Linked DNA regions of Neodiprion lecontei. The protein of the gene in region 1 interacts with the protein of each later gene in a biochemical or structural test. Links are inferred from orthologs where the notes say so. Each region holds a gene or a part of one and is shown on either strand. Other genes may lie near its edges.

Evidence for each region.
Region 2: the proteins of E3 ubiquitin-protein ligase RFWD3 (region 1) and replication protein A 32 kDa subunit form a complex in vitro, tested with the Homo sapiens proteins (3 studies listed by BioGRID, with this or other methods). The link is inferred for Neodiprion lecontei from reciprocal best matches to the Homo sapiens genes RFWD3 and RPA2.

The regions. Positions count from the first base shown.
Region 1 is NC_060261.1:10,708,796-10,726,200, reverse strand, and holds E3 ubiquitin-protein ligase RFWD3, read right to left. Parts: upstream 9,740-17,405; 5' UTR 8,413-9,739; coding exon 8,403-8,412; intron 8,105-8,402; coding exon 7,868-8,104; intron 7,602-7,867; coding exon 6,115-7,601; 3' UTR 5,792-6,114; downstream 1-5,791. Other genes in the region: ribose-phosphate pyrophosphokinase 1, read right to left, coding at 47-255; ubiquitin-conjugating enzyme E2-22 kDa, read left to right, coding at 2,116-2,178, 3,324-3,476, 3,554-3,636, 3,792-3,955, 4,068-4,199, 5,199-5,221; ubiquitin carboxyl-terminal hydrolase 47, read left to right, coding at 10,969-10,986, 13,467-13,664, 13,780-14,038, 14,825-15,003, 15,131-15,305, 15,388-15,509, 15,626-15,819, 15,954-16,168 and 2 more. UniProt on the Homo sapiens protein: E3 ubiquitin-protein ligase required for the repair of DNA interstrand cross-links (ICL) in response to DNA damage. Plays a key role in RPA-mediated DNA damage signaling and repair.
Region 2 is NC_060262.1:40,661,063-40,677,444, reverse strand, and holds replication protein A 32 kDa subunit, read right to left. Parts: upstream 10,205-16,382; 5' UTR 10,066-10,204; coding exon 9,289-10,065; 3' UTR 8,851-9,288; downstream 1-8,850. Other genes in the region: histone H1, read right to left, coding at 1-185; histone H2B, read right to left, coding at 3,141-3,512; histone H2A, read left to right, coding at 3,794-4,168; histone H3, read left to right, coding at 5,661-6,071; zinc finger MYND domain-containing protein 10, read right to left, coding at 6,349-6,436, 6,538-6,770, 6,870-7,007, 7,090-7,259, 7,330-7,535, 7,642-7,928, 8,171-8,279, 8,380-8,477; F-box only protein 22, read left to right, coding at 10,445-10,626, 10,870-11,057, 11,394-11,748, 11,839-12,230, 12,619-12,704; borealin, read right to left, coding at 13,846-14,730; zinc finger protein 420-like, read left to right, coding at 15,265-15,438, 15,533-15,700, 15,803-16,382. UniProt on the Homo sapiens protein: As part of the heterotrimeric replication protein A complex (RPA/RP-A), binds and stabilizes single-stranded DNA intermediates that form during DNA replication or upon DNA stress.

The DNA.
Region 1 (17,405 bases):
CTTTATAAGATAAAAGGATAAATAAGGGCTGCAATGATGTAGTTACCATGTTTCGAGGTTGCTGAATTTTTTCGTGACAACCTTCCCGATGTCGATTCCAAGCCTGTCGACTATTCGCTGCGCCAGGTCCGGGTGCGACGTACCGCTGAATACTTTGATATTTGGCATTCTGCTCCGTAGTACACTACCGCCACGAGGTTTCTCTAACTTTGCGCGTAACAAACTCCTCGCACGGACTGGTTGCGAGACGGGCATTACTGTAAATCCGAACGACCAATCAGAGCCGTCCGGAAATTATCAGTATGCGGACCCAGCGCTCCCTCGTGTCAGCTTACCGAATTATTTGCATTTCAAATCTTTGATCTTAGGGTGGATTTTCACTGGCGGCAATATGCTTTTTTCACCGATAGGAATGCCGATAAAGTAATAAAGTGCTGCCTGATGCACGCTGAATGCGAATTATCCATTTTTATTATTATTTGCATTGGTCTGGAACTAGGCAGTAAAATACTGCCGCAGCATTTTGCTGTCCACGAAAAGCTCGCATGCCTCATGGGGTAAATGGTAACGGCCACTCGGTATACTCTATCTCTCTTGCTCTGCGCTATGATTAGCTGGTCGATCATTCAAATTGGCCAATTTTTCTGTTATTTTTTTATTTTTTTTTCATATTCTCACGAACTTCCAGCGAGTTTTAAGAGGATGCTACGGGTAGTCTCTAGTAACCGAATAAAATATCACTCATTTTGACTATTACCCAGAGTCTACGCATCACTGACATGAAAATGGCGCGGATAGCACATTTTAGCCACTGCAATGTCGAACAAGAATATTCAAAAGCTTCTGTCTTTCATGCAAGAATAACATCAGAAAATGTGCTCCTACAATTAGTAGTAATTCTATTACAGGAATATCATTGTAGCGTAAAACAAATACCCGTTGGGTTCTTGTGTTCTGCTTTCGATACAGAATAGTGCTATCACGGGACTACCTTTTCCCGTTAACGAATGCGTAGGCTCTGATAATAGTTAATCATAAGTGACATTTGACTTGCTCGGTAAGGACTGACTATAGAAACTTTTTTGTGAACTGATTTTGAATTTTGAGGATGTCGAAAATTGCAACAGATATTATCGTTTTCAAACCATTAAATATGACTCGAAGAGATAAAATTTGTTCATGAACGGGTACGGGGATAATTAAAAAAAAAATTAGGTAATGCGTTTCATAGTTCGGTCCGTACATGGCAGATATGATGCTGCAAACATATTGACATAAAATCGAACAGAATTGTAATTATGTACTTGAGAATCATTGAAGCATACATATTTACTATTCGTTTCATAAGTCAGCAGATAATTTAAAGTTTACTAATTAATCCGGTCATAGTTAATTTATTATCAATCGGTGTTCTGTCATATTATATTCCATTTTGTCACAGTATAATGTTACATATATATTATACATTTTTTGTACGTGACATCGTGGTCCAATTTGTTATTTTTTCAACTTTCTTCTTCAATTATAAAATTATTTATGCTGATTTAATTCATGCACTTACGTTACAATTAATGTAAAAGATTAATAGAATCGTTCGGTAAAGTATTTATATAAGTGCATTGCAGCGTTAAGATCTGACAGTAAAACAGTTAATATTCACCACTCAATATCTGTGAAGGCGTAGAATAAAACCTGCGTCATTGCTTACGTATTCCATAAGTAGTTGTTGAAGAATTGAATAAAAAAGTTATATATAACCATATTTACATGAGTCAGTGAATAAGTTTTTTGAAAATCTCGAACGAGATTGGTAGGAAAAAAAAAATTTCAAATTAGCGCCAAAGTAATCGCGGCGTGACTCTAGTCGGAATTTAAAGAGACAGGCAAGTGACAGTCACTTTTCTACTTTTCGTCTTTTCCTATCAATGTGGCGCTAGCTGTGATCGAATGACAAATTGTATGTAACCGCCAGCGGTTATTTGGGTAAAAAAAATACAGGTTGCGACAACAGTACATGAATTAAAAGAGCTGTTTAAATCGAGGTAAATACTGGCATCCGTACATTCGGCGGTAAATTATGTCAGTGTATTGAGTAGCTGGGAGTGATAGGGAGACATGGCGAACATTGCGGCGCAACGAATCAAACGGGAGTTCAAAGAGGTTATAAAAAGCGAAGAGGTGAGTGAATAAGTGCAACTTCTCAACGACCCAGTACATTTACCAGTATTTAGCCAAACGCGTGATCGCGAGAGAATTTCACATATTATGCAACGCTAACCTGTAACAAACGGCTAAACAGATTCTCCACGTACCAAGTCGTAGACAATTTTGAGTTGAGGGCACATCTCGCTTTCCTCGCTCGTTATAATTTTCAAACTTTCCTCTGACAGTTGCTTGCGCAATTATTTACCTCGTCTGAAAAGTGTCTGTTGTTATTAGAAAAAAAACATTTTCATTGAAAACTTATCCTTTTCACAAAATTCGTGAGAATCTCAAGTTCTTAGTACATGAAATATCCTATTCAGTTCATACTCATTTCCATAGAATCTTTATTTCTTCAATATCTACGTTCTCTGTCAGGTTCATCTTTTAGGTTTCATCATTTCTCCGGATATTTGAATACTGTTTTAGAGTCACTAATTAACCATCCAAAATTCCTGTTTGAAAAGATATCAATAAATGTAGCTTACTTACCATTTTCTTCTTCTTCCGTTGACAATAATTCGACATTTTCTGGGCTTGCCATAGATTTTTGGGTTGCAGTCAAGTTTTGTTTTTCCAAGACCCCTTTGTAGGCAGGCTATCACGATTTCCACGCTTTGTTAACAAACTGCTTTGAATCTCGTCACATTTTCTTACTTCAGACCGCTTCTTGCGCTAGTCGACATTTCGAAACTTTGTTATTTTCTACACATCATTACGGGTCGCGTTGATAAACTTGGCTTGGTCATTTTTTCTATAAAAGTATTACAGATTAAAGGCTACAGGGGGTCGGCAATCTTATTAAAAGTAGATTACTATTTCTCAGCAATACGATGTATCTGTTGAGCAGTACTGTTCGTATGAATCGCGATAATATTTGTGTTGATAAAACATAACAACCTCGGTGCATAGCTTGGTTGCCTTTCCCTTTTCTACAATTATAATATTCATTAAATATGCTGATAAGATAGTGTTGTGTTTCAGTTGAAATATATTTTCAATAGTTGAAGTTGATATTGAATATGGTCAACTTGTCAAATGATTTCCTCTTCTACTTTATTGGCATTTTCAACAAACAATAATTGACTAATCATGTTTATCTCTTTTCTCTAACATTTCAGGTGGCAAAATGTGCGATTAAGGTAGAACTAGTAAATGATAGCTTCACAGAATTAAAGGGTGAAATAGCAGGACCACCCGACACTCCATATGAAGGTGGCAATTTCGTGTTAGAGATAAAAGTACCTGAAACGTATCCATTCAATCCACCCAAAGTAGGTACCAAAACCATCATGAACAAAGATGTAGTATAAGATCTGAAGTCATTGAATTTTACACTTTTTTATTTCAGGTTCGTTTTATCACAAAAATATGGCATCCAAATATATCCTCGGTTACAGGCGCCATATGTTTGGACATATTAAAAGACCAATGGTAAGTTGCAGTCCAATAATGGTTACTAATATAATTGATCGGGTGATAATTTTGCACTCTGCAATGTCGTTGGTTCTATCACCTTACGACAGAATAATTGCATAACAGATTTTAGTTGCATTGTGTTTTAAACGATAATTGTCATCCTTTGTCAGGGCTGCTGCGATGACCTTAAGAACAGTTTTGTTATCGTTACAAGCCTTATTGTCAGCTGCTGAGCCTGATGATCCACAAGACGCTGTGGTTGCTAAGCAGTATAAGGAGCAGCCTGAAATGTTTCGTCAGACTGCAAAACATTGGACGTCTGTGTATGCTGGTGGTACAAGATTTATCTACTACGAAATTTATTAAAGTTTTTTTTACGAGTAAAGACCTCAGCGAACTAATGATTGTAATATCAAAAAATACCAAGAAATGCCTGATATTTTTAGGACCAGCTAAGATGTCAGATCTCGATGACAAGATAAGAAGATTGACTGATATGGGGATCGAAGAACATAATGCACGAGTAGCCTTATCCTCCTACAATTGGGACTTAGAACGTGCCACCGAACAGCTATTCAGTTAGTGATTACTGTGTATTCTTATGTATCATAAAAAGCAGCTACTAATTGGCAGCAACCTCTTGGAATGTCACTGTCACAAAAGCATACCATCGTGTTTTCAAATAATTGAGAAAAAAACCCAACATTCGTAATGACAATATTGCAATGGTGAGATAACTTTGGAAGTGATCCCAAATTTGACTAACTATTAGCATTCATTTAACATGTAAAATAGATACGAGAAACAATAATAATTGATGAACAAGTTTTAAGTAGCAAAATTTCATAAGGTATGTAACTCAAGAGGAGGGCATTATTACGATTTACGAGAATAAGTTGTAAATTCTAAATCTACAAGACGAAGCGACATTTATGTTTGAATAGACATATGAATGTTTTTTTTTTAATCAATTCCCAATAATCCACTTAGAAACAGCATTAGTAAAATATTTAAGAACCAAACACGTATTAAAATCTACGAAGATAATTGCTTTGATTAGGCACTAACACAGTTGCCAAGTGCTTCCCTGAAATTTTTCTTCAATCTGAGTTCAAGTTTTATGTGAAACCTCATTGCTGGAGGTGTGTATCCAATTGACTGCGTTACTAACGGTTGTACTACTCAAGTGTAACTCATTGTCAGTTCAATGAATGATGATATTACATGTTTTTGCCCCCAACTCTTATTGTTCGAATATAAATAAAATTATTAAACACTTCTTCAATTGTCAAAATTTGAAGATTGACTAGCTGATTATAATATCCTGCAGCATATCGACTGATTGTAACGGGGTTTCGCTTGACTCTTGAGTGTATATTAATCAAATTAACGTATCTTTTAGTCCTAATAAACGTATTTATGAAATTTCGGTAGCCTCCAAACTTGATTTGTGAATATTTAAATTTTGCACATTTTTTGAAGTTTGATTACTTGCAAACTTACACTACTTTTCATTATACCGACGATAAGAAAATTCCAAGAAATCAGCAAAATTAAACTTATAATTTTAATTACAGTGACGGTTATGGCGAAAAATTGAACGTAGCTATTTGATGAAAATACATTTCTTAGAAAACTTGGAGTGTAAGACGGCAGTGTGGTACGACAGGATATCGCATGGTCGGTCCCGTGCACGTTTGCTAAGTGATGTTGTATACGTTTCACGTAATGGAACATTTGATTAATTTAATCTACATCCTATCTTACTTCGATTGTAATTCTAAGAGTAAAGTTCTATTGCCAGGTGTGAAATCTTACCTGCATACGATGTACTCCAATTAATTGAAAATTGATAGTTATGTTTCATAATATTTCATGCATTTTTCAATCATTCACAATGTGCAGGCTGTGTCTGAAGTGTCGCCAGCAAGAGTCAAGGTCCAACTACTCGCAAACCAGTTTGTTAACTTGGGACAAATGGTTGGGATCTGTGAATTTGAATTTACAGGAAAACAAAAAAAAAACTCTGCTCTGTTCATATTGGGAAATTTAGGATTTATACCATTTAATAAGATCAATGTACATTAATAGGCCTCAAATATTAATAAAAGTAATTTTTTTTCAATACTTCTTTCAAAATTTGATCCACCTTGATTTGATCGTGGAAAAATATAAATAGTATACAGTTTTGAATTACTGGAAGTAAAAAAATTATTCGGTCAATATTTAAAAACAGGGCTTATAGCACTCTTAAAAAACGTGCCTAATCTATAAAGAAAATTTTTTTATTCGATACAAAATACTTACGCTACAATAATCGGTATCACATAAATTTAATTACACACACGTATATGACATATTGTATAGTTTAAACAAGTTTCTTTCACTTTCTATTTCACTAGTAAATAAAACACATTCGATTATGATTTCACATCATGCTATTCCTTAATAACACTTGACGTCAACGTCTGTATGCATTTATCTTACAAATAATCAATTACCATATTTATATGCCCTTAGTTTCTTTTGAGAGAGCGTTGCTAGAAAGAGGTCATTGTTTTTAGTATTAAAGGCGCAGAAGTCTATCACAGGATCAGAAACAGGAAGATTATAGATCTGTTTACCAGTTGATATGCTCCAAATTGGTATAGAGCTGGTAGCTTCTTGATGAGCGGCTAGAAGCGTGTCATTTTCAGTCTTTATCTGACACGGTCTAGAAAGTAATTTCTGTGAATTTCCACCTTGGAAAGTGTGAACGATATTGCAAACGATTATATCCTCGGTACCTTTTTCAATTGTACAAACAGTATGCCTTGCCTGCGGTTGCCTGGGGTTTGGGCGAGACGAAACCACGACATGTTTGCTTTCGGAATCGTAGCAAACTGACACAAACGGCCCTTCAAGAAACATTTGCTTGCCTGCAAACTCCGCATCTTTGCTTTCGTATGCGAAACAACTATTCAGGCGACAAGCTATGAACCCTCCAGCCGGTATTCCACTGTCGTAAGCTGGTGCAACCTTTGCTAAAGCGACGACCGGTGATCTGTCTCCTGGTCCGTCTATTTTGCTGATTGGGCCAGCCGTTTGTCTAATATCGAATTGTCTGACAGAACCGTCTTGGGCACCGGCCAAAAAGACATTGTGATTATTACCGGCCCAACAACAGCTCCATAGCTGAGAATCCGTCTGATAATTGTGAACCACTGTATTATTGTGGATGTCCATCAACTTTGCACACTTGTCGAATCCAACACTAAGGAGTATTTCGTTTATGTAAGGATTGAACGACACGTCTCTGATGGCCTGAGAATGCAGGAAGACGAATTGTCGAGATCGAAATTCTCTGGAATCAATTTTTTTTATTCCATACCCAGAAAATAAGGCATTTGTGGATTTTTGTGATATGACTAAGGTCTGGTACCACGCATTATAGGCAAGAACTCTGCACCCGCCATCTTTACAAATGTCAATCGATCGTTCAAGATGAAATTTCTTTAACATTGGTTGCGAATTTGAGTGCTGTAGGCTCGATTGATATTCCTTTCCCATTTGCAGTTGCTGACTTTCAAGTTCTAATATTCGCTGCTTCATACCAGCCAGCTGTTGGTCGAATAATTTCTGCCGTATTATGTACCTTTCCAGTTCCATCTGCAGCCGACTTTTCTCTGCTGTAACTTTGCTTAATTCTACTTTCAGTTTGTCCGCTTCACTAGTATCAACTGCTGATAACTTTTTGACATACAATACGCGTATATCCTTAGCCGAAGCCTTGTGATTGCACTGAGGACATCGACGCGCTCCTGCGTTACATCCAGTTTGTAACCAACGCTGAATACAACTATATCCAAACAGGTGTCCACAGCGTAAAGAACAGAGACGATGTTCTCCAGAGTTGTTCCACAGATCCATGCAAATCGGACATGATTGACCCGAATCTAGGTCTGCCTCCTCATCCGAGCCTGGGTCTTTTCTTTTGTTTCCTATGAAATGAGTTTTGTCCATCGAGATATATTTGAATTATCTTAGGTAGATCAACGGTAACTGTTAATACTAGTTTGTTTTGCAAGAAGCAATTACGGTCCCAAAGAAATCCGAAACATCAAATAGGGGCTATAATTATCTGGACCTTGAATCAATGTCAAATATTTCATATGACTTTGAGATGTCAAAGGAAACATGACTTGATACTATGATGAAACAATATGTAAGTGCTTACTGCACCTTTGAATATTACTAAATAACTCACCAATTTCGAGAAGCTCTTCGTTATTGTTGTTTGCTTGTGGTTTTTGGAAAATTGGTACATTCTCTTCCCCTTGTACAGATCGAAAGGTTATTGGTTCACTATGCTCAATAACCTGAGCTTCTTGGTCTGTCTCTGGTTCTGATATGTGTACCACTTCCCGTATAGGAGTGTTGACACGATTATCAGGAGCCAGGATTACTGGCTCATCTGCTTCTTGAACCTCCATCTCTTCTTCATCTAACATAATCAATATTCAATTAATAATAAGAATTGGATTATAAGTGTACATCAAGCTCGATGTTGAATGATAGCTGCGTGCAAGTGTTTCCTCAAAATCTTTGCCATTTTTTGATCAACTGTGTCTGTGAATAGTAATTTAATCGATGGTTAATCGTTTGCTGACAAGACAGGGTGAAACAAATTAAAGCATATAAATGAGGCAGAAAACAGTATCAGATGTGGGGTAAACGGTTAACGGTAAATTTAAAGGGCTTATTCCTTGGAAACGGAAAGAGAAAGATAAAAATCAACTCACTGTTTTCCATTTTTAACGAAGTCGGACAGGTTATACATTTAGAAGAAGAGATGAAGGTGCAATGCGGGATTAGCAATGGTTGAAACTTGAAATTAACAACAAAAAAGCGGTGATCATAGTAGGTAATTGGAAAAATATCACGTTTATACTTTTTTACCGAACCATCGATGTTGCCAAAGGACTTATGACTTGGTTTCACTCCTTTGGAGTGCTCACTTATTTACGCTCCGTTCTGTTAGGGTCGGTGTCCTAGTGAGAACAAACGGGAAATCGGAAATCTTCTCAATCTGCTTAATCTCATCGGTAAACAGTCAACGCGTCTTTCAACATCAATCGGTATTTGGCTAACAGCCTGTGTTAATTAAATATCCTTGAGTGTCAGCAACCGATGGCGGTTAATGGCGGTCGAATCTGCCTCCAATAATTGTAGGTAGAGTATCGCGATGACCCACGTTGATTGGCCACTCATTGAATCTACTTCGAATATTGGCGCTAATTTTTGACAACCTTAAATTTTAGGACTTTCAGAATTTTACAGTTTGCATCTTGCAACTTTTAATCAATAATATTCTTTTTCACAACTTTACACTTTGTTCGAACGTTGTAAGGGAAAACTTGCGGGATATGAATAATCGTTAGAAGATCGTCTCGTTAGAATGTTACAACACCAGAATGCAGGGTTCTTTCCCTTTTTATTGAGTTGTACGCTCGCAACTATGCTGCAAAGAAGTGTTTTTACATAAACTTTGCATCGCTTGCAAATATATTCTTAAGTCAACACCATGATCCTTGCTATTTTTAATTTTCTTCTATAAATGTACGCTTTGCATGGCTTTCGACTTTTTCCTATCGAGCTCTCTGGGAATCGTATGTTTTGCGAAGTCATAATAAGCCACAATTGATTGTAATAAAATATAGTTGGTAAATTATTTGTGAACAGAACGAACTTTTGAATTACCCAAGGCTGGCTCATTTGTGCTTAGACGATTACTGAAAACTGGGTTTTGTGTCTTTCGGGATTGCGTGCTAAATGGCTCTCGCCGATGAAAAAGCTACCGTATCACCAACACGGTTTCTTATGGCCCCGGGCCTACCCAGGGCCCACTGAGACCCACTTACCCGCGGACTGGTTACGCAAAGTTATTTGTCACATGGATTCTTTGGAAATTCTGCGATTTTGCAATATCTGCGAATCATTTAAGAGGTTCCCGCAATGCATTTTTAACAAATTCAAAGATCGCCGGCTAACTTCACATAGTATCTTGCCGAACTTCAAAAAGCGTGACTCTAAGCGGTTATCTCAACAATTTGTAGTCAATGCTTGTTCCGTGGTAGCTTGATCCAAGCTAGGTCCACGGACTTGCTAGGCCATGAAAAGAAAAAATTAAATTAAAAAAAAAGAAATATGGCGTAACGTGATTGCTACACATGTGTCAGTGAATTCGGTAAGTGATTTTTTGACGATAGTTTATACTCGGTGCAAGCGTAAAAACGTATTCCTCGCAATAGGACTCACTGCGCAATTATTTTTACCGAGTATAAAGATTTTCTCATTTTAAATAGTTACATAACTTCACGGTAAAATCATGTTCAGGACGCATATTTCTGACGTCGGTTGTTCAGCCATTTGAGAGAAACTTTGTAATAAACATTTTCTCGTTACTCTATTACCTCCTTTTCTTTTTTCTCAAATTCTTTTCATTTCATTTTCAAACTCACCTTGCTGTACGAATACGTAATCTTTTTTTCACAACATCTGCCTAATTACGTAAGACTAGTTATACGGAATTTGATTTGAAGGAATATAAATACCGGCGTCTTCACAACGTCGAATCTACTTTTGCTCACTTGTTCTACTGGCACGCAATCTCCCCGATCTTACGCCTTCAGATTTCCTTCATTATTTTTAATATTTATTTATTCACTTAACGTAAAAATAAATTAGCAGCCCCTACTTGCCAACTACCATGACGTATATATCTACATACATTCGACGTAACCTTGTTGGTTTTTTCTTTTTTCTCTTCCTACAGATCTCAAGCAGCTTCAGCGCATTACCAAAGGTTGAAATCGATTCAAATATTTTCACTATCACCAAGAGAGAAAGGAAAGACTAGGTGAGATTTGCCTTCTTTGAAACCTTTTCAGTAAAACTAAGCACTGTAAAGCATGTTCACTCTCCTCCATAACCTGTTAACAATGTGACGAGATTCTTTTGTTGCCGTCGATCGAGACAGGAGATTCGAATAGCCATCGAAAGGTATCCAATTGCGATGATTGTCCCTAGATTTCAGAGTTGAGTGTTGGAAGTAAGAGACCTAGAAATTTTGCTTTTTCATAATCATTTAATGTCCTGTGCATTTATTTGATGGTTACTATTTGGCTATTTATTTGGTGGTATGTAATTCAAGATTAGATTTTTGAGTGATTAAACATTGAAGTATGTATTTTTGTACTTGTTTTCTATATTTCGTTTGCTTGTTATCACCTATTTTTGTGTACCTAATGATTCAATAGTACGAATTTATTGTAGATACCTATATGACGTATTTATTACATCACAAGGATGACCGTGGATTTTGATGTAAGTAGTAATTAACTACGGGATATTTGAAAATCTTGTCACATCGTCCATACTTATTTACATGTCGTAAAAGAAAAAGAAATGAAAATTTCATTTACACTATTGACCAGTTGCTCAAGACTTCCACTAAATCCACTGAAATTCAGTTTAAGAGAAAATATAACCACTTGATACTGTTTTTCAAACATTATTTACATAAATTTAGATTTCAACAAGCTTCTACAGATGATTTCGCATTACAAAATTGAGAAAGCAGATATTATTTCCTGTTTTTATACTGAGAAAAGAGTCAAGAAAACATTATTAACAAAAACGTATATTAAGAGGGTTTGAAAACCTTGAAAACAGAAATTTATCAAGTAATTTTACAATTTGTGCAAAATTTTTTTATGTAACAGGAGGATTTAATTTTTGTGACGGAGTGTTGGCAAAGTCTGGAAATCGGTGCCTTGAGTTTTGTGGCCATCCTTGTAGCGTATCTGCATGAAAATAGTTATATGCTTATGCCTCTGTTACACTTTTTCTACGACAATGTAGCAATTTAACTATTCTAAAATGCTAGTACTTGATTTTTCAGTTTCTATGTCATCACTTGTTGTTAGGAAAACTTACGGCGAAATGAACTAATCTCCCTTCAGCAAATTATAGTACGGGTCTCTTATTCAGAGTACTTTACTAGAAAGAAAAGTTAACAGTTTAGAAAAGTTGCTTGTTTATAAAACACTTCCATCAGAAGTTTGAATATGCAAAGGAATGAGATAATTTCAATGAATCAATACAGATATGTAAGATATGAATTTTCAAAATATTGAAATTCGATCTTATCAAAACTCTTCGGTATTTTATCTATCACTAACCGACGTACATTATCAGATTCTCATGTTTACAGTAAGTGTATTCAGATAATGCCGATAATCAGTTAATCCATGAATTTGAGCCCAACCGGCTCAATGATTTTCAAGATATCGAATTCCGAGTTCGGAAATGCAGATCCGACTCCACTAGTAGCAGACATAGTTTATTAAATTGATTTTCACTGTAGTATTTTTCACAATTTGACCATCCTTGTAATTAATCAGTAATGTGTCTGTGTTCATCGGTTGTGATTTTGAACCTATAGCATATGAAGAAAAAAAACAGATTTCACTGTATCCAGGGCTGATAACTTCTGTAACAGAATTTCGCACCATCCTGTTGTCTTTAAAAAAATTGCAAATATCAGGTACTGACATGCATGCACAGGTTTTATTCTTCTTCATTTCCACCGATAATATTCCTTTTCCATCCGATTTATTGATTTTAATGAAAATATTTGATGCAAAATGAACAAAGACTCGTCACAGGTTTTGCGAATCAGTTTGCCCTCATATTCCCAGATAATTATCTCGTCAATATGTATGTACAGAAATATATATATTAGCCGAGATAAATATACATAGTGCGGAAAGTTTGGGGTGACGATGAGGACGATTACACAACTCGAAAAACAACTATCCAACAACAGTGTAAGAGAGGCTTAGGTATTAGTGTGCTTGTGAAGGCGAGTAAAAGCAATGCGCAGTGTAAATATGTGAAGGGGAGGTGGTACTGATCTCAGAGAAGAGAGCCATTTTCAAACTCTTGGTTTAGATCAGCTAAATATAGCTGCAGGGTGTATAGGCTCCTGTAGTCTACCTTGCTCTGCAGAGCAGCGATATCCCACTCCATCACACAGATCTCGCTGATTTTCTACCTTCACCATGGCGAGCTGCCAAATTTTGTCTGCCTGAAATCTGTTAATAAGTTCTTCCAATTAATCTTAGAATCAGTAAATATCATTGTGAACTATTTATTCGTTTGTGCCAGTTAAACATGCGACTGTGTGCTTTCGGTGCTTTTCTTAGAAACTTGAAAGTTCCCATCCGCATTGTGATCCTTGCGACTTGTTGTCTTGGGAAGTAGTTCTATATTTAAACCGGAATTTATAACTTCACATTGTTCCTGCAAATAGTTATTTTACGTCCGCAGTTTAATTAGAGTTACTTCATCATCTTTTTTTTTCACGAAATACTTTAATTATGTTGCTTGGATGATAAAATTATGTTCTAATTTGTTTGCAGTTTTAACAAATAGTTATTCTGTCTGGTACACGTATTGCTTTGATTAACCCTAAATTAAGTGAAATGGTTATTGGTTAAAATGTGATATTGAATTATGTATATCAATTGCCACCCAGTCGTGTTTCAAAATCTTTAGAAAGACTGGAAAGTGTTCATTCCTCGCATACGAGAAAGATCTATTTTTATTTTCATACAAAAATACATTTTATCGTGTAACTTAATATAACGAAATAGTCAAGGTGCCGCCGAATGCTTGTGGTAGATTTCAAATTCACTTCGCACTGACTAACATTGCGGTAATATCATAAGTTGAGTAAAATTGAAACTAAGAATAAACGCACGAAATGTGCCTGCGACTAAACCTATATTATACATTCACAGGCTATGGTGTGTGCCGTCGAAGACTGTGGTGTGGAGTGCGTAGTTCGTGATTGCACTTCACGAGATGCCCAGCCAAAGTTTAAGCTTTCTCTTCACCCATCGACGACAGTTATTGATATCTTCAACTATGTAGCTCAACATTATTCCTACGATGTGGACAGCTTTGAGCTGGTGCTACAAAGTGCACGTGGTGAAGTGGTCAGTCGGTTTATTTTCACCCGTGTTCTTTTCGCTTTGAACCAAAAACTTTGAATACTGTGAATTGACTTCTCTCCAATATATGTAAATTTATGTTCTTTTTTTATACCTACAGGTCGAGCTAAACGAAGTAAAGGAAAAAAACCTGATGGAAATTGGATTGAATTTTAGTAACGAGACAAAGTACACACTGGTCGTGAGTGACGTTTCTCGCCACACTTCAAAGGATGCAGCGGCCAACAGAACTATTTCATCCATCAAGACTCCACTGTTTAGTCCATCCTCTGGAGATTACAACCGACCAGCTCCAGCATTCCAGTCACAAATCCAGGAGTTCACTTTTAATCATAAAAGTGTCATCAAGCCTGAGACTAGTAAGTTTGATGCACCTCGCGATACTTCAGAGTAAATTTCGTCGCAACGAGGCAATGAAAGGAAGCTTTTTTCACGTTCAACTCATTTTATTCTATCACGAAATATGGCTGATTATCAATATTCTGATTAAATTTTATTGATAAACAGAGCGGACGTTTCAGTTTTTGCTGCTTCAATACAGAGAAAGTGGTTGACTTTGAGCTCGATAGAGAGACTTCAAATATCATCATCAATTACATTGTAATTTATTTTTCATCTAGTAATTTTGAATTTTGATCATTCTTCTAGGACGTAGAAGGGGGAAAGTTAATAGTCAAGGTATTACTATGTTAATTTTGACTGTACATTTACTTGGATGACACTTTGAACCTGCCTGTTCCGTCATTTGACAGCATATATTTCGTAATCCGGTTATAGGAGACACAATTACTCAAATTTAGATATATGAAGCCAATTATGCAGCATGATGCTAACATTTCAATGAGTTATTCATTTACATGTAAAAAATTCAACATGATATGATTGGAAAAATTGTCTTGGACCGTAACGTTTTTCTCAAATTTTGTTCTTCAATGCTCACAATCCTTTATAACTAGTATAATATACTACATACAACTCTTTTCCGTTATGCAAACTATTCAATGTTAGCATTGATCAACTTTGCTTTCTAAAAAACTGGTTCAAACTTTACTTTACCAGTTGCTTTTGTATATCGAAATGATTAGACACTGATTAAACGACTCCTCTGTAATAATTCACTTGACCAAACAGCTGTAATCTTCTAGGTTACGTCGGTCTGGTGAATCAGGCAATGACGTGTTACCTAAACAGCCTTTTGCAAGCCCTCTACATGACCCCAGAGTTTAGGAATGCTTTGTACAACTGGGAATACGTCGATGGTTCAGAGAAAGATGAGGCCAAAAGTATTCCATATCAACTGCAGAAATTATTTCTAAATTTGCAGGTCAGTTTTCATAAATCAGATCACAAATTAGGGATGCAAATAGATATTCTAGAATATTCTGTATAGTTCGAAAGAAAATTATGTATTTCAAATTTCATTAATGCTATGATTTACATCTGCCGAGTAGACGTCAACAAAGCCTGCAGTGGAGACTACTTCTTTAACGAAAAGCTTTGGTTGGGACTCAACGGAAGCATGGCAACAGCACGATATACAAGAGCTGTGCCGAGTGATGTTTGATGCCCTGGAACAGAAGTTTAAAAACACACAGCAGGCTGACCTGATCAATAGGCTTTACGAAGGTATACTTTTTAGTCAACGAATACCTTTGTAATAAAATTATACATGATATTTACCACTGACACGCTGATCATTATTCAACAGGAAAGATGATCGACTATGTAAAGTGCCTAGAATGTAGTACTGAAAAGTCTAGAGAGGATACTTTTCTGGACATTCCTTTACCTGTTCGGCCATTCAGCAGCAATGTCGCGTACAATAGCGTGGTGAGCATGCTTCAATTTCAGGCCACAAAATCACGATACTGGAGATTTTTTAGTGTACTATCATTGTTTTGGACGGCAATTCACATTATATTAAAATATTTGTGATTCTTCTACAGGAGGAAGCCTTGCGAGCGTTTGTGCAACCTGAAACACTGGACGGGACAAATCAGTATCATTGTGAAAAGTGTAACAAAAAATGTAACGCACATAAGGGGTTGAAATTTTCAAAATTTCCGTACCTTCTTACATTACATTTGAAGCGATTTGACTTTGACTACAATACTCTCCACAGAATCAAGCTGAATGATAAGTAAGTCTCGTCTTGAATTGACTTTCTTAAGATTTGGATTTCTTTAACTCTTTTTTTTGTTTGTCTTCAGTTCTCTGCTATACCGATCGTCACATATTGCTACAATATGTAATGCTTATATACTTATGTAACAGGGTAACGTTTCCCGATGTTTTAAATCTCAATTCCTTTGTCGCATCAACATCTGCTCACGAGTCTCCAGGTAGAGAGGAGGACATTGGCGTTGGAGTAAAGTGTGATGATAGTTCAACGACAGACAGTGGAACATTAGACGACGAATGTCCCCCGTGTGATAACAGCAGTGCAAGTACTAATCAATCTACAAATCACGATCAAGATGATGATGAAGGTACAAATGAAATCATACATTTTTTATTTCCATTCTTGCGAAAAGTAAACTATTTTTGCCTAAATTGTTTTTCGAAATGTCAATTCATTCAATTTGATAAATAATATTCACCTTCTTACGTTGACAGGTATAGATGTAAGCAATGGACCCTCAACCTCAAGTTGCAGCAATCACAATCATGAAAATGAAAAGAATTCTGGAAATCGTGCAATTGATAAAGGTCCATATCAGTACGAACTCTTCTCCATCATGATTCACAGTGGGAGTGCAAGCGGGGGTCATTACTACGCGTATATCAAAGATCTCATGACTCAAGAATGGTTTTGCTTTAATGATCAGAGTGTCACGAGGGTAAGAGCTTTATTTTATTACGAAAATTATCTTGACTAGCAAAACGGCAAAATAAAAATGTTAACAATTGATGTATGTTAGCAGGTCTTATTCGTTTTATCAAATATTTTTGCCAATATCATTAATTTTTATGTAGTGTCGTTTGATTAGTTTGAAAGGGTACATATGAGTAGACGGCTGAAAAAGTTGGTGAATTTTTCAATCTCGTATCTCTGACAACCAAATATTCAATTCGATATGGATTTGTTTTCTTCAAAAGTGCGTAGATCAAACTTCATTCACATATTTTCTTTACTAGACTCAATTAATAGGAATCATTGTTATTGATAATAACGCCAACCAGTTCGCTCCGTGACATTTTTTGAGATGCTCACAATATCTCGAAAACGGCTTGAATGATTGATTTAAAATTTGGAGACAGTATTATTAGATAATTTATCCTCTTTGTTACGATCCGATTTTTTTTTTTCTCTAACAAAAGTTATATTTGTCGTACAAAATTTACGAATTTTTTATTTAAGTAACTAAGGATATGATAAGAAAACTTAGATCGCGGCAAAGAAAATGAACAATTCAAGAATAGTGTCTCCAAATTTTAAAAAATATGGAATTGAAGCTTGATCTAAATAGTTTTGAAGAAAACAGACCCAAATCAAATCGAATAATTAGTTGTCGAGGTACAAAGTCCAAGAATCTACCAAGATTTTGAGCTGTGTACTCGTACATACCTCCTTAATAACATACACGGATTAATTTATTTGCAGATAACTTATGACGATATTCAAAAGACATATGGTGGTGGACCTACTCGAGCTTACTATAGTGGAGCATACAGCAGCAGTACAAATGCTTATATGCTTATGTATAGACAAATAGATCCACATCG
Region 2 (16,382 bases), on another chromosome or scaffold:
CCTCCACGTTCCTTTAGCGTTTGGATGGCGCTGGTAACCATGTCAGAAGTCCGTGGATGCGCTGGCTTGGCACGAGGGCTCTTTGCCTTGGCTCCTGCTGCCTTTTTGGTCGGTGTAGCCTGCGCTGCTGGGCTAGCTGATGCTGGGCTAGCGGCGACTGCCGTTGCTGCTACCTTGTCTGCCATCTTCTCTTCTCTTTGCGGTTACGACTCAATGCAGAAAGCTTCGAAATTGGTTGAGATCGACGTGTTCACTGCGTAACTGATATTCGAGAATTGTGACTGCGAGAAGCAGCGGCAGGTGGTATAACGGAGCGCGGACCATGGAGAGAGGCCCCCCGAACGTTTCACGCGGCGCGCTTCACCAGCGTCGGAAGGCCTGGCACTGGGTACACCATCGATCGTCAGATTCCTGAGCTATTTCACCGATGACCCAGTAATATCACATCTTCACCAGGTTCTGTGAACTCTGGGCAAGATTTTACAAAAATTCCGGAAGACTTTGCTCTTTTGAGTGTCTCGAAAACGGCGGGAGTCGCGGACCATGTGTCTTGACGCCCTTCGCACTCCGAGCAAAAGACGCGTTGTTCCTGACCGAGGAAATCGCGATACGGTATAGACAAAAACGTTTTTTGGAGCCTGAAACTTTGGATTTTACGCTTGCAAAAATTCAATCTCACCATTTTAGCGGGGAAGCTGTTATCGATATTCCAAGTCGACAAGGCCGCGTTCCGTCGACGCCTACTGTCAGGCTTTCCTCGGATACGGCTAGACCGGTTCGGAATATTTACCAATGACAACCCCGATGAAGAATTCAGGAATGGGATGTTAAGAGGGAATATCTTAATTATTAGAACTAGGAATTACGCTTCCTGGTGAAGATGTACGGAGCGATTTTGCGGAGTGGCGCGTTCCTAATCTAGTCGCGCTCGAATATAATCGTAGGATATACCAGCTTTCATACTTTGAGAACGATGATCATAATTTACGAAAAATTAATTATCAACGATCGATGTAACGATTGTTGATCGTAGAAAGTGCAAATCAAAAATAGAAAAGATATACGCTTTTTTTGCCGATATACTTGGTCATTCCTCTCAGCCTATCCAACGGCGTTGGTATCACGTACATTTTTTTCCTATCTATATCCAGAAGAATTTCTTCCTCAGGTTAAATTTTGAATGAGTGATTAACAATAATGAATGAAAATGAACTTACAAGTGGTATAAAAATGCTTTTTGATCTAAAACGGAAATACAATGATTTTCCGCATACTACCATTTCAAATTAGAGTAAATATTACCATACAGCCTGGTTGAAGCAGTGAAATTTCAGTATAAGTTTTCGTTATAAGTTTAAGTGCATGTTTTCCGTAAAAACAAAAAAAAATTTTTACAAATAGAAACTCAGAATTTTTCAAACAGTATATTATTCGAAAAAATATAGCATCTGGAACTGTATATCTGCATCTCGTTTTGTGACTATGAGGCAGTTTTATATTATTGATATTGTTTTAATTGTTTGACGAATAGAAGTCAAGACAATTTCTAGAATCAGTTCGAAATTCTTCATCGCTCCAAGTAAGTATGGACTCATATTTATTTCTTGTGGCCCGTTAAATCGCATTGTTTAACGCTACACTGATTCCAAACAAGGCCCACTGTTACGTGGATTAATTTTAGTCCTGGTATTTGCTACGTGGAATTTGCTATTATGCGCAGGTAAAATTAATCGTTGTATAACCTGCAAGTATACAGGTATTGATGCGAATACAAAATTTTAATACCATTAATTACAGATTCCAAATAAATTGGAATGCATTCAAATTGTCATCAAGTGTAATAATTATTCATGCTTAAATTGTCATCAAGTATTTTCCGACGGCTTTTGGTACAGGAATCAAACTTATACCTGAAAAATAGTAATAAATACATGTCACGTAAATTATACCTTGAACATCTTGGAACATTTCAGTTATTATGTTATGAATAATGATATTCCTGTACTTAATATTTCTTCTATCAACAACAATTAACACAGAAATACATATATTTCTACTTCACTCTTTGTCTCTACGCGCAGATAGTGTAAAAAAACTGCACGGAAGACGTTTTTGATTCATCTTCCGTCATCGGTATTATCTACGTAGCTGAACAGATTCAAACTGCTGGTGATTGTGTGTATCTACAGATCAGCTGGTGACCGGCATATGTATCTTGTACAAACACCCGATCGAATCGAACGAAACAGTGTTTATCTCCGTGTCCTTGAAAATCTCCTGTAGTTTGTAAACTTTCAAACTCCACGTTTCATATTTGACATCTAATCACTTTCGCTCATTCTTAACGCTCTGTGTTTGCCAGTAAAATTGCCATTTTTTTTCAAGTTGTCAGCTGATTATCTAAAGATTTCTATTGATTGTTCAGCGTGTAAAAAAATCAATTTTCTAAAAGTAAATATCCTGCAGATCGGATGAAATTTTTACACAGGTCATTAATTTGGATATAGAAAAGTTATCCACTGGCGATACGTGCGCTTTCGTCATTCGTACTAATATTTAATCATGTATGGTGACTTGGCTGGTGTGAGCGCTACGCAATTGGGATCTAATTATTAAGTTTTACAACAAGCACGCTTAGCAAATTCGTAAACGTTTATCGCAGCATGGTGTCGCATTTCACTGTTGCAAATTCTAATTGACGTATTTGATCAACAACCATATTTTAAAGAAACTTATCCAAAAGTGCTGTTTAATTCAAGCACTGTTAGAAGTTGCGTTCAATATGTTATTCGTTTGATCGAGTTGACATAATATCGAGCTTTAAATGCTCAGAAAAGACTGATTAAGTTTCAGAGACAATTGCCAGCGAAGTTACTAAGACGAAGGAAAGTTTTCGTTGCTTGTTTACGAAATATTGGCATAGTAGCGGGATTTTCAACATGCCGTGGCAATTTTACAAATGTATGTATTCTTCGTTCAGTTAAGTATACTATTGATTATGAAATATTCTACAGGTAAATAATTTGACAACTAAGTTCTACATGTTTCGGCGTGAGGAAGACAGTTCTTTGTACTGATCAAATTGGTGGCCCTGAAAAGGGCCGTTGGATTGGTAATAAGTTGAAATTCGTGGGTGGCGTTCACTTTGAACTTGTATATTTGGTCACGGCTTTGGTGCCTTCGGATACAGCGTGCTTGGCAAGTTCTCCAGGTAGCAGTAACCTAACTGCGGTTTGAATTTCCCGAGATGTGATAGTTGACCGCTTGTTGTAGTGAGCAAGTCGAGATGATTCGGCGGCGATTCGTTCAAATATGTCGTTGACAAAGCTGTTCATAATGCTCATCGCTTTGCTGGAGATACCAGTGTCCGGGTGTACTTGTTTCAAAACCTTGTAGATATAGATTGCATAGCTCTCCTTCCTCCTGCGCTTTTTCTTCTTATCGCCCTTGGTGATATTCTTCTGTGCCTTGCCAGCCTTCTTTGCTGCCTTACCGCTGGCTTTGGGTGGCATCGTCAAAGGATAAAATTGGTAACGTAGTACTGACTCGATGCTTCACTCGTAAGCGTAGAAGGCGAACTACAGACCGACCTTCGCTGCGCCTATTTATTAAGCGCTGGCTCACCGACGCCGAGCCAATCAGAAGCCGCTGCGTTGAGTCAGACGCTCCGATTGGTCCGCGCCACTTGCGCTGACGCGTATAAATATGTAGTCGCAAGCCGTTTCGATTCATTCTACGACGAGCAGCGTTGACGCTTGGGTCTCTCGACGCGCACAAGTTAACAATTATCACTATGTCTGGACGCGGTAAAGGCGGTAAAGTCAAGGGCAAGGCAAAGTCCCGTTCGAGTAGAGCAGGACTTCAGTTCCCGGTGGGTCGTATTCATCGGCTACTTCGCAAAGGAAATTATGCCGAACGAGTTGGTGCTGGAGCTCCGGTATACCTCGCCGCTGTGATGGAGTACTTGGCTGCTGAAGTTTTGGAATTGGCCGGTAATGCTGCCCGGGACAATAAGAAGACCAGGATTATTCCTCGTCATTTGCAGCTGGCCATTCGTAACGACGAAGAGTTGAACAAACTGTTGTCTGGAGTTACCATTGCCCAAGGTGGTGTTCTGCCCAACATTCAGGCTGTTCTCCTACCAAAGAAGACCGAGAAGAAGGCTTAAATTTACTGCACAAACAAATAACCTTAAACGGCCCTTTTCAGGGCCACAAAATCGTTCAATATGCTTAGAACAACGTCTTGCACAATCCGCAACCTCATCTTGTTACCTTCCTAATATCTCATATTCGTGAACACTTCAAATTATATGTACTTTGGTACACATTTCAAATCTTGGCATACATATATTGCTTAAAATTCGCAAAATACCTTATTAATCATTAAACCCAGTGTTACTAATTCAACGGATAAATACGCCCTCCAGATTCTTTTCAGTGTACTGTGGTAAATTCATCGATTCTTCGAAAACGACGGCGTAATTCGTATATTCCTCTGCTCAATTCAATTGAACTCCGAAAATTTATAAAGAAAATCTTTATTGATTGCGTAAATCGATTCGCTTTGCTTGATTAATCAGAGATGGAAACTTGATGACAGTCATGACATTTCACAGGACATGTCTTGTCATGTATTCACGTTTAATCGAATGATGACTTGACTCTTCAGAATTGGAACAGAAAATTAAGCTGGGACATTTTATACATAGTAAATGTAATTTGCTGAATGTCGAATGTTTCTTCTATACGCAACGCAATATTCTTAAAATCAGTGCAAAAATTATTTTGAATGCAATGATTTTTTGTGGTACGGTACGTACAAACATTTGAATTGTAGATTACATAAATTCATAATTTACTAAGGTTGGAACCAAATATCCTGAAGGGTTATACGGCGTAGTCTCATAACGAATAAGGATGACAAGTAACATCAAATGGCGTTTTGATGTCCAATTGTACATCATGCAGCACGTATGAATCTTTGGTCAGAAATGATGAACAGAATATGCCAGTTGATTATTACACTGAATTATCGAAGGGCGAATCTTGCATAGTATATTACATGACATAGCAGTGCGAATCAGTTTTTCAACATCGGAAACAATCGGTGGACCGGTTTGTTGTTGAACTTGACGTCCAAAATCGTACAGAGTGTGACCTTAAGTTTCAAAGCATAGACGGCGTCTACGGTGGTTACAATTTTCCCTTTGAAATGGTTCCACTTTAGATACGAAAAATACTATTTCGCTTTTTCGGTCGCGACTTTTGAAGATTCCACCGATCGCCGTAGCTCTCTCGAGCCTTTACGACTCTCCATTTACAATAAAATTAGGAATGATGATACTTAAAAATTTAAAAGTCAGAGAAATTCGCAAAACGAGAACGTTAATCCCTCGCTGAAGGCTGCCGTATTACTGCCGCAATTTGCTGTAACTGCTGCAAAGACGTTATGTCCATTGTGTAAGGATTATGTATACACTATGGTTATATCCACGACTGGCTGCAACCTCCACCACCGCTCCGTCCACCAATGGAAGTGCAGTACGGGAATCTGGTAAGCTGGTAAATACAGACGCCAGATATTTCGTGACGCAGTTATTCGTTGGAAACGCTCTGATCCACGTTACGAAACTCTTCATCCGACTCGTTGAACCCGACATGGCACGTACGAAGCAGACTGCTCGCAAATCCACCGGCGGTAAGGCGCCCAGGAAGCAGCTGGCGACGAAGGCAGCTCGCAAGAGTGCACCAGCAACTGGAGGAGTGAAGAAGCCGCATCGTTACCGCCCGGGAACCGTTGCCCTTCGTGAAATTCGTCGTTACCAGAAGAGCACCGAACTCCTTATCCGCAAGCTGCCCTTCCAGCGTTTGGTGCGTGAGATTGCGCAGGACTTCAAAACCGATCTTCGATTCCAGAGTTCTGCTGTCATGGCTCTCCAGGAAGCTAGCGAGGCTTACCTGGTTGGTCTGTTCGAGGATACGAACCTGTGCGCCATCCACGCCAAACGCGTCACGATCATGCCCAAAGACATTCAGCTGGCTCGTCGTATTCGAGGCGAACGTGCATAATTTGCAACGATTACTTCGCGACAACCACAACCGGCTCTTTTCAGGGCCACCATTTACCCTATTCGCAAGGCATCGAATTACACTGTCGAGCTGTTGAACTTCAAATACTTTGCAACGTCATTGGTAAAGATAGTGAAACCAGGTTATTCATCTCTCGGAACCTTGATACGATTTTTTCAATAACAGTGAATCTATATTCGTTGTTGGATTACAAAATACTAGCGAAGAATACAACTTTGTACCTGAACACTGGTTCAATGAAATACGTACTGTGTTATCAATCTTTGATGCCGTAGGCCTCTTTATTTTTTATAATCTTATCACATACATCCTTGTGTCGGGTCCAATCCTTTACTTGACATTCCCTACAACATGTAAGTATTCATTAGTTGGTTTGAAAAATGTCATAATCGAAAATTCAACGAGAAACAACATTTTCGAGAAAGTAATGGAGTGTCAAGTTTACCTGCCGCAGTACCAAGCCTCCTTGCATTTAGAACAGCGATTCGACGCAATTTCTTTACAGGCAAAACACCTTCTTGGTTCTATAGATTCGAGCTTGTCCAGGTCATATGCTTCGCTCAAAACCTGTGCCATACTCTTAATGTGTTCTATGTCATTATTGAACAATGATTTAGATTGAAGTTTAGCTATTTTCTTCCATTTCCTGTGATACTTCGCCAGGATAGACGACCTTACCTAATAGAAGATTTTAATTCCACGATTTAATTACTAGTACAATAGCGAGCAAATTGTTCACGAGTAATACGTTGAAAATAAGTAATTACGAAATTTCACCTCAGGCAGCATTTCAACAATTATTGGTTTTTGTGCATTCGGAGGTTGGGACATTACGCTCAATTGACAAAGCCATCTTTTCAACTCTATCAACGGCGAAATTTGATCCAGTATGGTTTCGTGTAGGTATTTCTGCAGCTAAAGTCAATCCGGTTCAGAAATTATTCCAACACGCATACTTGCAATAAAGTTAGATATTCTATGAGTTCTTTCGAATTACCTTGACCAGTTTAGACATTCTAAATTCCGTGATCTCATAATACGGGGCACATTTTGGATTCAGGAGAATTTCCCGTAAACCTATCCACACTTGACCCTCTACTCTGCACATTCTGTCCTGGTCGGTTTCGTTTACCGTTTCCCATTTTCCGTTGTATACCATTTTATTCCCTAACGATGTAATAGTTATACTTGCGGAGTTACGGTTATTAACAACTTGAAATGAATCAGTGATGTTTACCATCCTCGCCCAATTTCTTCCAGGGTTGTTTTTCAATTAATTCAGTTAACAGGTACGGAACGTCGTGTGTTGATAACATTCGTGAAAGAGCGCATAGAGATAAACTGTCAGTAAACTCAGCCATGTATCGCAAAATCGAAACACACTTCATGCTAATGTCAAATTCAATTTCCTTCCTCTTTCGCAGCAACTCTGCCAAGCACGAGCTGATAAATAAAAAAGATATCAATCAAGGATTAATAAACTTCTCTCTATAGTCAAAAATAAAACTCATGTCTAATTCTGTTAATTCATCTGAATGTGATAAATTACTTTGTGTCTTCGAACTCGTCCTCGGATTCTTCTTTGCCCTTAAAGAGCAGATTCGTCACGTTGGTAACTGCGTAATCAATCAAATCCAGGGCATAGTCGTCCACGGCTTCTGCAGTATCAGAATGAAATAGAATATTCTCCAACAAGGAACAGGCTATCACTTCGTGATAAAACACGCTGTGCAGCAGAAACGTGTTCGTGGGTTCATCGTTTATTTCAATCAAAAGGGGAAATAATTTTTCTTTCCACACATTTATCTGAATCACTTCATGAATCAGTACCGGCATCTGAAATGGGACATTTCACAAAAGTACCTGATATATTTAATTACTCGTCTCATTATTCCCGTTAATTTCAAAGATTCGTTTCAATTCTTGTACAGAGTAACATTCAAGAGTGTATTTTTAACATATGTAGGTAGTAGTCAACATATAACATCATTGAAACTCAGATCATATATCGAAAATTTACTCGTATTGATCAAACTTTTCCTCCAGATAGCATATGTACAGATAAACATCGTGCTTACCTTTTTTAACGAGATGAACCATTCTTTTACAGCTTCTTCTCGCAAGGTGCTGATTTCTAAAACGCTTTGCTGGTTTAACAGCATTAACTTCTTGTGAAATTCCAGCCATCTACAATTATCGCAATATTGTATGCCGTATGAGAAAATATAGAGCGCAAGATACTTTGTACGAAATGATCGAATTTTCTTGGGATAAGAAAATAATTTACCGTTTAGTACCAATGTCGTCGATATTTGAAGGCTGTAAATCTTGTACGTGAATTTCTATTTCCCATGGTGTTATAATGTAATCCGTTCGTTCCGTCATATTACATACATCACAGAATTGAAAACTTCAGTGCTTATTCAAACTGATCACACGCTCTACTGACATCATCGGCCATTTGTAAATAATTTTCGTATCACGCGTAATCCCGCGTAAATTCGATTGGCAGCTGGCTTGAGCAATCAGTTTAGTTCGATTTGAAAGAGTATTTTAAATTAAAAATAATTGGTGTTGGATAGAAAATACCGATTACTATCGAGGTTCGAATTCCGAATGAAGCAACAACAATTTACGAATGTATACTAAAGTATATTATCTTCAAGAAGTTCAACATATTACAAGTTAGCCGAATAAAAATCATCTTGTTTGCAGACAACTTGTGAGCGCAGATGGAAACTGATATAAGGCGTATACATACGGTGTGTAAGAAAAAACCTTGCTTCATTTTATTAATCTTTGGAATAACGGCTTTTACGAATATACAAAAGAGTGAACACAGATTAACATAAGACTAAACAGTAACATACTTCTAGCGAGAAGCTGAGAAAAATATGTATGATATTCATATTACATATATCGGCAACGCATTACGCGTATAAACGTTACAACATGGAATAATATGCACAAAAAATGTAATGCGTGCTGTATTTTTTTTTTTTTTTTTTGATTTACAATTTTTGTTTTCTCATCATTTTGCGGTTCATAAAAAATAGACTGGTAATGGAATAATTTTAATCTAACTGACGTAATTGTACTGTATCATAACATCTTCCTTTAAAAAAGAGGAGGGCAAAGGTACTCGATCTATAAGTACCCGAAAAATTTAAACAAATCGACGCTGAATGATCCATGTTTACGTGGTTTTGAAGTGATCGTCGGTAAGCGTTGTGTAAATGTGTCCTTCCCCGGCCAGGAAGTCGAGTATATCGTCGACCTGAGGACGGATATGCGGCTGCACCCGCGCCTTGATTTGATCCCTCTCGATGCCGCTCGGCGTGTCGTTTTCGGATTGTATTATCTTGAAGACGGCTTTCTGGTCGTTCGTCATGCCGCCAAGGCTCGCTCCCATTATCGAGGAATCCATCAGCGAATTCTGCAGTCCGACAGGTTGATTCGAGTCCGGGATGCCGATCGCGTCCATGTTGCCGGCTCCAGCGAATTTCTCCCCCTTCAGGTCGACGTATATCGTCTCCAGGAGGTGCAGGGTCAGTTCGTTCAGGTCCGTTATCGGCCATATTTTCATAATCAGAATGTGCTTCTTCTGGTGCTGCTCGCGGAGCGAGCCGAAGACCCGGACGTAGGTGTTCACCTCGATGACCGATTCCTGCGGGGGTTTGTCTGCCTCTATCCAGTGGAAGGCCGTTATCGTCCCGGTTTCGTCCTCTATGTCGTAGGTTATCTTCGTCGCCGAAGGGTCGATCCGTCGGATGATACCAACGGTCGTTATTATCTGCACGTCCGTACCCCAGATTTGCAGTTCCTCCGGGCTGTCGATCAAGTGTTTCATCATCACCGGAACGATGTTCTGGGCCCGTTTCACTCCTCGTTTCGCGTTCCCCGCCGGCGAAGACACCTCCGAAGAGTTAAAGTACCCACCCCCATCATTTGCAAACGCTTTTTCGCCCCACATTGTCAACTCTGTTAACTCTTATAACGAAGAACTAAGGTCACAACTTAACCTCAAATCGCAACAACACGCTTTTTCAGGTTCACCAAACTGCGCGCTGTCTACTGTTTGGCGGGATTTCCATTCAATGGCAATCCTCAAATGTTTATTTCTGCGTTTGCGTTTGCGCGAGACAAGCTGGTGGCGCCATCTGCCAAACACTTGGCGCATGCGTATTGCAGTTGCATTCATGGATAAGGAGTGCATCAGCGCACGTAAATGCATGAGAAGACCGCACAGCTGTCGGTCGCCTTTATTGATTCTTTGTGTTTGAGTACGGTAGAAGGCCTCTGGCATATTGTAAACAGAAACTGTTATCGTGGAATAATTGAAAAGAGTAGCCATGGAAAATGTGTCGAAAAGGAAGACACGGAAGAGGAGACAATCTAATCGAGAAGAAAATAAGGATGTTGACACCGATGTGGATGGTGTAAATTGTAGAGAGCGCATAACCTACGACGTACTCCGACTGATGCTAGAATATTTTAATATTACGGATTTAACTCGGGCGGCTATGGTTTGCAGGTAGTAAAAAATTTGGTCGTTCTGTAATGTGTTCTAGCGGCCAAATATTCCACATCCAACGATTCTCTCCATTGTGGAACTGGTTCTTCAACAATTTATTTTAACTGCCTCTTGCGGTCGAGCCACGTTTTTTTGTTCCATTATTTAAAAAACGAGAACAGTTAAGAATAGTTAGTTTTTTAACTTGGTTCTCCAGGTAATAAATAAAAATGAACTACCCCTCACCGAACCGATATGTTTCAGATCCTGGAATGAAGCTGCCGAAAAAGAAATTCACACTCGACTGAAACCACAACATTTTTTGCTTGAACCTAATACTGAGTCGAAAAAAATTACCGATCCAAAATATGTTGTGGACAAATTGTTCATCCAGCCAAGTGTTGGAATGGTGTTTAATGGCTTTCATACTAGACGTCAAATTTGGCAGCCAGGTACTGTGTGAGGCTTAACGTAACATCACATCGACGCAAGCTATCTAGAAAACGAGAGAAAGTAAAGTCTGGTGAAGCTCTAAAATTTGAAATACTTAGTATTTGCTCACCTTCCCAATAATTTGTTTTTTTCCCATATTTTTTCATTAGAACTCAATTGCTTGAGCATTGTGTTTGATAAGTTGTCAAGCTGCAAAGAAATGGGAAATTGAAAATAATACTTGTCAAGAACTTTGAAATATCGAGTAATATCAAGTGTGTTAAAACAATTTCATCGATAATGAGATTCGTCATTCATCTTCGTTTTCTAGTTTGACTGACATTCAAATTTTTCAGATTGTTTGTGTAATTATTTGCCTCCTCAAACTGATTATATAACATTGACAAACAGTGGCACTATTTATGATGAAGTGGAAAACAAAGCTAGAGGTCTATCCAGTATATTCTTCCCTGAGATTCCTGATGTGAAAATCAAATACTTTCATACCACAAAATTGGACTACCTCAAATTTGATTCAACGCAAAATCCTAAATCTTGTAACAAATTAGCAAGGGAATTGTGTAAAATATCTCCAAAAGAAGAAAACATAAAATGTATAATAATGTTCCTGGGTGGGATGACACGCAACATTTTTGCAACCCCAGATCCAGACCACGTAGAATCGGTCATAAACTCGATTGTTTCATATGGGTAAAGCACATGGATTCAACAATGTGGTATGAAACATGACATGATAAATTTTCACAATTATAATACTTGCACGATATTGTCATTCCACAGAACGAACACAGCTAAAAATAAAATTGCGATTTGGGGTGGCATCGCTCGCAGGGTAATGGTATGCAGTTCTTCGCGTGATAAGAGGATATGCAAAAAAAGTGTACCTATTGCTGGCCTCAGTATCTGCGGTTCAGGTGTTTCAACGTGGTCCATGGTGTTAAATAGCCGTATAAAAACTAAGGAACAAGCTGAAAAAGAATTGACAGCCTTGAGGGATGCGGTCAAGTTGCAAAAACACACAATTGGTTTCATGTTCTCTTGTTGTGCACGAGGCGATAGCTGGTATTCGGAACCAAACGTCGAGGCTAAAATCTTCAGAAAACTTTTTCCAAATGTTCCACTCATTGGATCGATTGGAGATGGGGAGTTTGGCGTATCCACAGTTCGTCACGGTATTTACCACCAGAATTAAAATTAATTACTCTGTGTGACAAGCGCATGTCGTCCGAAAATACTGAAAAACTTCTCGACATGTGTTATATGTGCCCACGATATGAAATTTTTTCTAGACTGTCAGTTTTCGATAAACTATTTTGCTTCCACTTTGTATTTGACTTTTTTTTTCATATTAAAAAAGTAATATTAATAATTCTCTGGGGTATTTTAGCTGCATTAGTTACAGATTGACATTATTTAGGCATGTTACTGCTATAATGCTGTCACAAAGATTTTGAAAATTTCACACTTAAAATTTGTCTGGACAACCTATGGATGCAACAAGTTTTGATATTTTTACTTCGATCAGTATCGTTAACATTCCTTCTTATTTTCTGTTTTCAGAATACTCGCCAGATGAACGTATTTTCCATCAATATGCTACAATATTTTTAATCGTGTCTTACGGATCTGTGAGGAAAGTGTTATAAATATTCAAGTAAACTGCATCAATAAGAAACGGGTTGTTAACACAAACCAGTAATGCATTTTGTATTTTATTACAACAAATAAATATGACAAAATCCTATCATTTAATTTTCAATCAGTTAATGTTACCTAGGAATTCTAAATGCCAATTATAATAAAAGTATGAATCTATAAACTGTATAGAGTATAATAAAATCAATCACATCCAAGTAGGAAGGTGCAAATGTTATACAGTGTGTTAGAAATTCATAATCTAATTTATTAGTGCTCACCGACCACACAAGACACTCTTTGCGTCAGTCATATTTGAAAGGCACGACTTACTTTGTCTAACTTCTTAGTAATGCATTTATAAGCTATGTATTAATATTAAGTAGAAACAAAGAAATGTCCTTAATCAGCCTCTTTCATTCACATTCTCAAAAGCTTTTGCCTCTTTATGTAAAGCTCTAGAATGAGACAAAGTGTGGCACAGTTTTAGAGCATGTTGGTCAGAAAATTGATCAATGTCCAAATATTTTTTAAATTTTGCTACAGTCAGATATTATGAAACAAAAATCACGTAAATTATTCTGAAATATTTGCTATCCACATTCTTTAGATACAGATATTCAAAGACTCATGACAATTAAATTCCTTAACTTGAATATGTTTACAAACTGCTACTACAAGCAAGTTTTTTTTCTAATAAAATTATAATGATAAAGGGTGGGGATTATACTAATTGTAATGTAAGAATGAATACTGTTTGAAATGAAATATATATATAAACTTTCGACACGCAAGTGTTTCAGCACTAATCCTTGATAAAAGGGAGAAAGAATTGAATAAAGCTGTAATGACGAAACTGGACATGTAATTTAGTAAATTAATTACTTCAGACGATGAGTATCAATATACACATAAGATGGAGTAGCAGGTGGTTTAAGGGATTAATACATTGATAATCCGAGTGAATAAAGTAGGTACTCAAACACCAACAAGTCTATCCTTATCTTTTCCACGTATCACTCACATGTAGTTAATCACGTTGAGTCCCATGATGTGGAAACGTGTATAAAAATTACATTAAATATGTATAGAAAAATATGATTCAATCTAATCAAGAAGACAATAAGAACGAGAAGTACAGAACGTTACATACTAGGACCCGATGACCTTATCTAAGTGCTGTTTTAGGGTAACTAACTGACGTCTGGTCTCTGCGTCAAATTCCGGTAGGTACGATAGCCGGAGTCCATCGTTGGGCAGCAGAGAAAGGACCCTTCCATTTTCCAAGGGCACATTGACGTTGGCGACATTCTCATTAACCACAGATGTCACTAGGAGCGGACTGCCCTGCATACTGAGGGCCATTTCACCCTGACGAGGTCGTCTCATCACGCTCAACGGTGTGTTGGGCTTGACTTTGGGGGTGACGAGGGCGTACTCTTTTCCGTGAGGCTTGAGCAGCGGCGCTGGAGTCTTGAATTTGTTTTTAATAGCAGACGAAGCGCCTCGTTCCTCTTTCCTGGAGGTTTTGGGCGCGAGGGTGATTTCGCAAAGTTTTGTTTTCCCGCTTGCGGACGAACTCCGCGTCCTCATTTTACGCGTCTTTGTCGAGGCCGCCGGGACGGCCAGATGATTTTGATTCGTCGTATTCGTCGTGGTTCCGACCTCCGTCGCGTAACCGTCGTCAGAAGCGGTTGTCGTGCGCTTCGAGGCCCTCGTCGGCCTGACCGTCCTCAGGGTGGGCGAATTCGTCTCGTCGACGTCGATAGAGGAGCTCACCTCGCATTGTTCGCTCGCATCGTTTTCGTCTGACGTTATTTGGAGTATGTCGCGGAGCGTCAACTTCGTCAGTGATTGGGGTAGACGGGAAGATGCCATGCGGTAGTGCGTCTCGATCCTGTTCAATCGCCCTTCGAATTCTACCTGCATTTTGTGCAGCCGTAGCTGCACTTGCTTCTCGAAATCTTTGAGTAGCAGACCGCCGTCCTCGCCCGCCACGATCGATTTTGTTTTACGGATATGCTTTGTTCGCGGCATTTTCACCTTTGCGATCGCTTCTCACGGAGGTTTAACAACGCGGCTTCACAGCTGAGGCGTTGACTGAAGATCTTCAGTCAACGGCTGAGGGATCCGATTAAAACCTCCACTTTCTGCCTGTACGGTATTTACATCTTAACCCTCCTCGAATTGTTGGCAATTTCACACGCAACTCTGTTCCAACTGGCTGTTGATATGATAACGCTATTGCACTTCAAATCTTCGATTTTGCTAACTGATTCCCTCGTAAAATGACAACAGCTCCTAACGTACATTTAATTTTCAAATCGTAAACCACGAATTACGACAAGATTACCGAACTCTATTGACTAAATGTTCTGCGCTCTCTCGTGGATTCTGTCCGAACTATTCGCCATCAATTAGAATACAGTAGAATATACAAGTTTCCCGCTCTGTTAACAGCGCTTTGGCGCTTGCTTCCAGCAGCTTTGATGCTTTATGGCCACGAAGTAAGAGGGATACTTCGTGTTTATGGCAGAGACGATATAAATTTAGTGTATCAAAATACGTGCGATGGACGTGAATGCTGAAACGAGTGTCTCGAGAGAGAACTTGGATGATGTATGTCGTGTTTGCCTTTCGTCCGATCCTGGCAACGAATTTATTTTCCGAAATGAGGCCAAGATTTCAAATACTAACAACACATTTACGTTGTCCGAAAAGCTCCAGCTTTACGGTGGCATAGAGGTTAGTTTAGTTTGTATAGTTTGAAGCGATACTCTGCTACAGCTTCTATTTTATGTAATGGAATAAACGACAAATTTCATTTTATCCACGTTAGATCTGGGAGGACGATGGGCTGCCTGCCAAAATTTGCACGCTTTGCATCTCTAAAATTAGCGTCGCACACGATTTTCGTGATCAGTGTCAAAGAGCTGACCAAAAGTTGCGAAAATTATATGGCAAACCAGCAGGAAGAAACACTTTGAAACTTTCCAGTAGTTTTAAGGTGCGTAATGCTATTGTACAGTTAATGGGAATATTTATCATTCTGACAACTGTTTGTTTTCGGTTATCTTGACTCATCTTTATCATCTTTGCTTTTCTTTAGGATCAGTACTGTCAAACAGATTCGTCATCGTCATGTGTCAAGAAAGAAGAAGAAGTCAGCATTACTGAAGAGGAAACCAAAATGCAGCAAAATGTCCCAATTAGTAATCGGTTGACCACAGAGATCCAAGTATCTCCTTGGAACAATTGTACAGAGGACATAGAAGTTCACGAGCATAAAATTTTGCAAGACATTAATGTTGATGTGCCGCAAGCAGAAAGGGAGAAAAGCTCAGTGAAAAGAGAGTCGTACAGAACTCGCAGGGTGTCGATGTTCAAAAGAATGACATCTATGGAAAATTTAAAAAGTCACAAAGAAAGACAGAGACAGTATATAAAAAAAAACACAAGTTCCAAGGTGGAGTCTATAGAGCAGGATTATTCAAGCGTAAAGCGGATGACTCGCAATAGGATAACTAGATCGATGGAATACAATTTGGAATCAGAGCTCTCTCACAAGTGTAGCAAGTGCAATAGATCTTATTCGACGAAAAAGTCGCTGGAGAGACACGCATTAACTCATGATAGTAAAAAGTTCAAATGCGATAAATGTGGTAAAGAATTTTTTAGACTGGACAAGC